Caenorhabditis elegans: one gene and its partner. The protein of the gene in region 1 interacts with the protein of each later gene in a pairwise test. Each region holds a gene or a part of one and is shown on either strand. Other genes may lie near its edges.

Evidence for each region.
Region 2: the proteins of pdl-1 (region 1) and prx-5 interact in a two-hybrid assay, tested with the Caenorhabditis elegans proteins (one large-scale study listed by BioGRID).

Annotation. Positions count from the first base shown.
Region 1 is NC_003280.10:7,182,031-7,185,829, reverse strand, and holds pdl-1 (Phosphodiesterase delta-like protein), read right to left. Parts: upstream 2,030-3,799; 5' UTR 2,006-2,029; coding exon 1,840-2,005; intron 1,821-1,839; exon of another isoform or gene 1,752-1,820; intron 1,555-1,751; coding exon 1,429-1,554; intron 1,412-1,428; exon of another isoform or gene 1,338-1,411; intron 1,329-1,337; coding exon 1,223-1,328; intron 753-1,222; coding exon 671-752; 3' UTR 536-670; downstream 1-535. Other genes in the region: C27H5.6 (G_PROTEIN_RECEP_F1_2 domain-containing protein), read left to right, coding at 208-338, 398-463.
Region 2 is NC_003280.10:8,703,246-8,707,315, reverse strand, and holds prx-5 (TPR_REGION domain-containing protein), read right to left. Parts: upstream 2,493-4,070; 5' UTR 2,492-2,492; coding exon 2,392-2,491; intron 2,343-2,391; coding exon 2,158-2,342; intron 2,110-2,157; coding exon 1,765-2,109; intron 1,717-1,764; coding exon 1,486-1,716; intron 1,341-1,485; coding exon 1,251-1,340; intron 1,199-1,250; coding exon 735-1,198; intron 689-734; coding exon 595-688; 3' UTR 556-594; downstream 1-555. Other genes in the region: Homeobox protein ceh-7, read left to right, coding at 3,487-3,684, 3,892-3,948.

The sequences.
Region 1 (3,799 bases):
TTAACTAGTTCAACTCTTGTCAAAGCCTTGACCAAAATGAACTGTCAAACACTAAAATTGAAGTCTGAAATAACATTTCAATATCACTTTGAATAATGAGATAATAACATATAAACTAGAAAGAAAAGCTAGTTAATTCTTAATTAACTTAAGAATTAATTAAGAATTAACTTTAAATTATTTTTTTCAAATAGTTAATGTTTCCAGGTGTTGCCTATCTTCTCTATGGTTTCCAATCTTGTTTCAACCTTCCCATCTTTTACTTTTTCCGTCTCGAATTCCGTCGCCGGTGCCACGAACTTCTCCGTTTCCGTCGTAACGGGACAAACACAATTGTGGTAAGATTGATGCATGTCCTTTCATTTTTCAATTATTTTCAGTTCTTCCTATTTTTCAGTCGAACGACATGAGTCGCCAGAAGCTATCACGTGTCAATGCTTCATTTGTGAACACTGCAATCTAAATGTATTTTTGGGACAATTTTCCTGAGCTATTCAATTTGTAAAATATATTCATATGTACATAGATGAATAAATAAATCCGTTGAAGATTTTCATTCTGAAATTGAATATTAAAATTAGGTATGTATTGTTTTAGGAATTAAAAAAGAGAGATCCATGGAGAAACAGGGAAGGATTAGAAGGGAAAAATGGATATGAATGTATATGTATTAGTCGTAATAAAGACGGACTCGAGACGTGCTTACAAGAAGATCTCCATCATAGAATAAAGTCTCGACGACGACGTTTCCGCTGAAAAATTGAGATTGTATTTTCAATCGTTCGAAATGTCAAGGCCTCGAACACAATTTAATGTTATTTTTATAGTAGGATTAAGTAGTTATATATAAGATGGTGTGCAGCATCTCCTGTGGTACGAAAATTACATACCATAAAGAATACTAAAACGTTTCAAAACTCAAAAAAAAAACTATCGGTAATTACTCAGTTTTCACCAGTACAAATATTGAAAGTCTGTTTTAATTTTTATAAAAAACACTGTATTGGTAAAATCCTACAGCAATGTTTGAAATTACTCAAAAACCCAATTTTTGAATTTTTGCCAATTTACCAAAACGCTGACTGATATAAAAAATGTTTGATTACGATACTCGGTCATGTTTACCTAATAACTATTAAGGTTTGCATGTTTCTGTTTCTAGTATCTTGAAGTGAAGCTTTGAAGCTTAGAAATCTAGTACTTTTGCACTTGTTTTACTTACCTGAGTACAGATGGTGGGAACATTTGTGATTCTGGAGCTGCCTCAATCATATTTTGCCACGTGTTTGTTGAATCAGGAATGACAAATCCAAAATCGAAATACCACTCTGAAGTCGGAATACATAATTAGTTTTCATCACCAGAAGCCAATATTATTCATCCATTGCGTGCAATAACATAATGAATATTCGAGTGATTCTATCTTACCTTCAATGATGGTTCCCTTCAAATAAACGCGTTGCTCGAGTCGAAATTTTTCGATTTTGACTGATGAAGTGAAGTTGATCTCACGAGACACCGTACGACATTTTAGAAGATTCTTTGGCACGTGTGCTGCAATCCATTAGTTTTTATTTGTTGGCTTCAAGCAATTCTATTTTTGTAGGAAAAACGCATTGCATTAGAGACCAGCGGTAAAAGACATGTGAAGGCTTAACTACACGCTCAGTGTTGCTTGCTAGCTGTGGCAGAATGGCGCAGTGGATGTGCGCGCGCATTGGGGGGAGACGCTCTCGCGTTCGTTCCCTCGTGTTGTCAGTGACGATATTACTTACCGCCCCAGGCATAGTGTTTGTGATGATTGGTTTATTCCGAGACTTTTTTTGAAATTCTTATTACCTTTGTGTTCCCTTTTTGGGTCAGCCATGTCTTCTGTGCTCTGCCAGAGAACTTTTCCAGTTTCTGCATCACGCAAGTTCATCCAGTTGAGCTTGAAGCCAGCCAGAATGCTCTCTGCCTTTTCGCTCAATTTAGAATCTTGATGACGAGTAGCGGTAGTGGCCATGACTGGAGCTCTACTCTCTGAAGAAAGTGATGTTTTGAGGAAATGACGACAGACCGAGGCACAAGAAAGAGGAACCGGTCATCTTAGGAACAAGGAAAAGTCAATATTGACGAAAAGTGACGATTGCCGGAAAAAGAGCATAAAAAATGAGTGTTCCCGAAGAGTGGTCATTATGAAAAAAAGAACACGTGGAGATCATTGAATTCATAAAGGAAGTCGTGTTATAAGTGGCACTTACATTTTATGAAAAAGGGAAGAGAATAAGAGAAGTAACTCGTATTCATACAATTATATATTACTGCTTATATATTTCTTTTCGTAATTCGACGGTTCTGTGGTTTGAGCAGGATGGGATTAGGTGATAATTTAGAGAAATATCATATTATTTCAATAATTCCCTAGATAAAGCTATGACTAGTAAGTCGGGCACTTATAACGCAGAAATTGCAATAGAAAATTTTCTTCAGAAAATCTACATAAATAGTCGATTGTAGTGTTTAAACAGAAAATGTATTTTTAAAAAAATATTATTTGAACTTATTTGTAATTCTGAAAATTTTGTATCGTTTAGATAACCTACAAATTGAAAGTAGGAATTGAAACAAACAGAACAAAAAAATATGTGCAAATTTTTGCATGTAATTAAAATTTCCAAACAATTTTGGTGTGTATGAAAGAAAGCAAATAAATAAATTTAAAAAGTCGACCAAAACATATTCAATTTCAAGAGGCAAGACGAGGTGAGATGATGTGATAGAAAAGGCGTGAAAAAGTTTTTACGAAATTTTAGAGGAAGCGCAGTCTCTGGCACAATGTTTTCACGGCCTTCTCGTTGCTCCCAGCTCAACCCCGACTGCGGTGGACGGAGAAAGCTCCAAATTAACCGAAAAGAGCGCGTCGTTGGGATGAGAGAAATAGAGAAATATGCGAAAGAAGTGAAGATGGCAGAAAGGAGAAAAAGAGACACAGGGAAAGGCTCTATTGAGTTGAAGAAGAAGAAGAAGAAGAAGAAGAAGGAAAATTGTGAAAAAAAAAGGAAAAAGAAGACGAAAATGACGGAAATGGAGAGAAAAAGGAAGAAGGATTTTAAGACGATCGGAGGGAAATGAGAAAAGTCTGAATGTTAAAACGGTGAGCTAGATGAGGGAACGAATGTAGGCGGAGTCATGGAGTCACTTGAATTGTTAAGTATATTCACGAGGTGGCTGATGAACAGGGTTTAAGACTTTGAGAACATTTTTGTTTGGAAAATGTGGGCATTTTATTGCAAAATCACAACAGCAGGAAAAAAGAAAATTATTTTTGATGTAAGGTGTGCCTTTTATAACCCTTGAAGTTATATACTGTTATTTACATGAACTTCCAAGTGATTCACACACACAACAAATGCAGTTACAAGTGCAGTGCATATTCAGTTTACATCGAACATTTTCTAACATTTTCTAGGTTAAAAAAAAAGAATTTGAAGTTCGAGTTCGAGCAAATCGAAAGGTTCTATGTTTCTTCTATACATATTTAAGTCTAATTTTTTAACTCCTGAAGTTTCTGCCTCGGGTTTTTGAGTTTTACCGAAAATAAGACTGTGCAATACATCGTCTGTGAAGATGGGAAAAGCTTTCAATCAAAACTACAGAAAACATTTACAAAATACAAGCTCCAAGTGACAAAACAAGCATTCAAACATTGAAAGTTGTTTGCTTAACAAAATACTTTTCAATGTTATCTTTAGATTTTTCTACCTCTCTCTTCAAAAATAGTATACTTTCAAAATACAAAGGGCAACAATTGCATCGA
Region 2 (4,070 bases), 1.5 Mb from region 1:
AAAACTTGTGACTGTGCTCCTCTCAATTGGAGCTGTTTCTCTCGGATCTTCTTCTTCTTCAACCAGCTGTACCTTTTCATGATAAATGGCCATGTCATGTGCTTCAAAGACAGAAAGAGAAAAGGAAGAATGTGTTCGATGACCGGCAAATAGAAAAGAGTGAGACGTTTGGAAGAGGGTGGCGGAAAGATGATAATAAATAGAATCAGTCATATGTTCCGAGGTTTTACTCATGGAACGGTGACTCATGTGGAATTTCTGAGCATTTTGTAGAAATTCACCGTAAGAGAAATGATAGGATTTGATTACTTAGTGTCTAGAAGTCTTGAAGAATGTTATTTTAATTTAGGCATTATTCAATCATTTCATTGAGCTCTAACAATGTGAGTTCTACAAACAAAACAAAATGAGCTGAACACTTTTTGTGCTAGGTCGGTTTACTTCCTGCTTTCTTACCGCTGTAATAACATTTTATGACCCTTCCAAACTCGTGATCGGCTTGAAATTGAGATTTTCAAAATGAAAGTTTGAAAACCAAGTAAAAAAATTCGAGGAAAAATAATTATTTATTTTAGTATTTAAATTGTAATTATTCTAGACTAGAGAGGCTTTTACAGCTGCCAAATCTCGTCTTTCCACTGCTCTCAGTAAATTGTCAGGGACATTCGATGTTCGGATTGCTGCTGATCTGAAATTTGTGAAGGTGATTTTAACATATAAAGCTATAAACTAACCTCATAGTTGTCCAAATACCAGATGCATCATTTCCTCCTTTTTGCAATTCTAATGCAGATAAAAAATGTTTCAAAGCTTCATCATAAGATGATAATTGCATACAAGATATTCCCAAATTGTATCTTGCTCTGACATATGTTGGATACAATTTCAAAGCTTCTCGATATGCTGAAATGGCTTCAGCTGTGTGGTCACCATTGGCTAACGTAGCACCAAGACGATTCCAGAGACGAGCATCAGTTGGATTTTTGGAGATCGCCAACTTGAGAGAGTCGACAGCTCTTGCAAAATTGCGATTCAAGTTGTATAAAACTCCGAGAGCATTTTGAAGATCTGGATCTGGAGTTGCTCCTTGTTGCCGAGCAGCATCCAAGAATCTAGCCTCAACTCGATTAAAAGTGTCACTGTCCAGAAATGAAGAGTAGAGTGGAGGTGTGGTTGTCACTTGAGTCGAGTTTGAACCCTTAAAATATTTATTCGTGTGGGATTATTCTTGAAATAAAAATAAGAAATACCAAGTAAGAAGACATCCATTTATCCAATTGATGTAAAGCTTCATTTTCCATTCCTTCGTTCGCTTGACTGACAGACAAACCAAGAAGTGCCTGAAATAATTTTGATTTTATTGGAAGTTTTTTTTTTTTTTTCTTAATTTCTGTTCTTAAAAAGTTTTAAGAGACAGATATGAATTTTATCGCGACCTATCTATTTTATGGCATCAAATAATCAAATATTTTTCTCAAATTTTACCTCCTTGTTTCCAGCGTCAATCTGCAAACATTTTTGGAACGCTTGCATTGCTAACTGATCTTTTTCATTTTCAGCATGAGCCAATCCTAATTTACACCAGGCACGTGCATCCTGAGGATCTTTTTGAACTGCTGCTTCATAGGCAAGCATGGCATTTCCAATATCTCCATTTCTCATTAGATTGTCTCCTTCCATCAGTGGATCTGACATGGTTGTGAAAGGGTTTGCTTCCTGAATAGGAGGGTTATAAAAATGTGTTAAAGAAGACAAAAATCTTACCTGATAAACATAGTTTTCAGGACTTTGAAGAGATTCGTCCTTTTCCATATCTCTCTTAATTTCCTCCCATCTCTGTTCAAAAGCCTGTGCATCTTTCCAAGTGTTTTCCATTCCATAATTATCTTGTTGCTCCATAAAATCATCAGCCCAGTTTTGAGTCCCAGAAGATTTGGTTAAAGAAGTATCCACAGTATCCAGATATTCAGATGACCACATACCAGCATCTGTTATTGGTTGATGTGATGACGTGGATGTCATTGATGGAGCTTGAACTTGACGCCATGCAGATTCCATGCTTGGAGCACTAGATGTGTATTGTTGACTCCATTGACTCGCTAACTGGTTCTGAAGCAATCAATTGAAAATACCAATATATGAATGCATTAGAAATACCTGTCGCGGTTGAAACTCCTTTGTCCAATTTGCTGCCAAACTTGAGGATGCTGATGCCTGTGGTAAATTATTCTGCATCGACTTCATGCTGAAACTTGTTGGAGCCATTGTTCTCGCTTGTTGTCTTAAAAATTCATTAGCCATTTGTTCTCCCATAGAAGAAGATGGGAGAAGAGAAGCTGCAGCTAAAAACTTTTTTTTTTGTTAATTTTTACTTGAATATTTCCAGCTTACCATTACTCGGAGCGACTCTTTGATTGGATGTTCCAAATGTGTTAGCTAACCCGACAAGAGCATTCTGCTGTCCACATTGTCCTTCTACAACTCCTTTCATTCTGTAAAAAATTGAAGAATTCGAGAGTTAATTGTTGAAAAAAAGTAGAATTAAAAATGAAGAAAAATACAATTTACAAGAAATATATAAAATAAAGTGTGAATTTTGATTGAAAAAGAAAATAAGTGGGCCCCAGTGTAGTCTTTTCATCAAATTGATTGATACTACATTAGGATTTAGAGTGAAGGAGACGTAGTGATAAAAAGATAGTATTGTCTTATCAAAAAGGATACAATTGATGAAATTTAGATAAGGAACAACGGAGGTCGACTATCGATTTCTGAAATAACCGGGAAACGTTTATGGATTTTTTTTCCAAGTTTTCCTAGCAAGATTGAAAACGTAATAAAATAGAATACCTTATTGTAAGTTTCCAAATTTCAATCCTTCAATTAGATATTCTAGTTGCTAGTGGAGTTATCCTAGATCGTTTTAAATTAAGCAAAATGGATATTTTGCACTTGGTTTGATTTTCAACAACACGGGTTTCTGGCTCGACCCGTCGCCCCATTGCACACTTGCACGGGGGAAAAATATTTGATTGTGCAATAATAATAATAATTTTTCGTGTGCAAAAGACAAATTTTGCTCGAATGAAGTTGTGAATTTAAAGAGAGTTCCCCCATTATTCCATAGCTAGGATTGATGTCATCTGGATCAAAATTTCAAAGATATCGAAACTGGCAGGAAAAACATTATTAACCAAAAAAATGTCAAGACAACCTTATTCGTCGACTGCATACATTCAGTTTTTTCCCCTATTTTGACATATTCTGTATACCTATAGGTTTTGTAACTATAAAACATTCCTTGAATACTTTTTTGTATAATGTCATCATTATTATATTTTCTTTTATAAACAAGGCCTATTAAAATGTCCAATAAAACTACGAAGATATACACAAAAGGTGTGATTTTATAATGTATTCCCTATAATTTAAACGAAACGAAACGAAAACGGGCGGCCCCTTGTACTGACAATTGACGGCATAAATATGAAACACGAAATGGTCTTTACATTCTTACTGATGATGGTTAGACCAGAAGCTTCAACCTCCAGAATTCCACGTAGAAGAACCACATTTACAGTGGAACAACTATATTTACTCGAAATGTATTTTGCACAAAGTCAGTATGTTGGATGTGATGAAAGGGAAAGATTGGCAAGGATTTTGAGTCTAGATGAATATCAGGTTTCTATTGTTTTTAGAAATCTATTCTCTATTAAAATTGTTTGCGAAATTTATCCACCAGGCTGAGCTCCAGCAACTTCTACGTTAAGTCTAACATATCCGATTGTATGTTGTAAAGATGTGATTAGATCAATCTAGGAAAAAAATAAAAAATTTTTAAATCAGTTGTTATCATTCAATAATTTTCCGAGACGTAGCACATTACAGGTGAAGATTTGGTTCCAAAATCGTCGAATCCGGATGAGAAGAGAAGCCAATAAATAATAGTCAAATATTTATTTAATTTCATTTCACTGAAATAAATTTTGTAGTTAGAACCACTATTTCCAACATTGAAAACATCGCTTTACGGTTTTGAAAACTCCTCGAGAGCAAATTCCTGATCA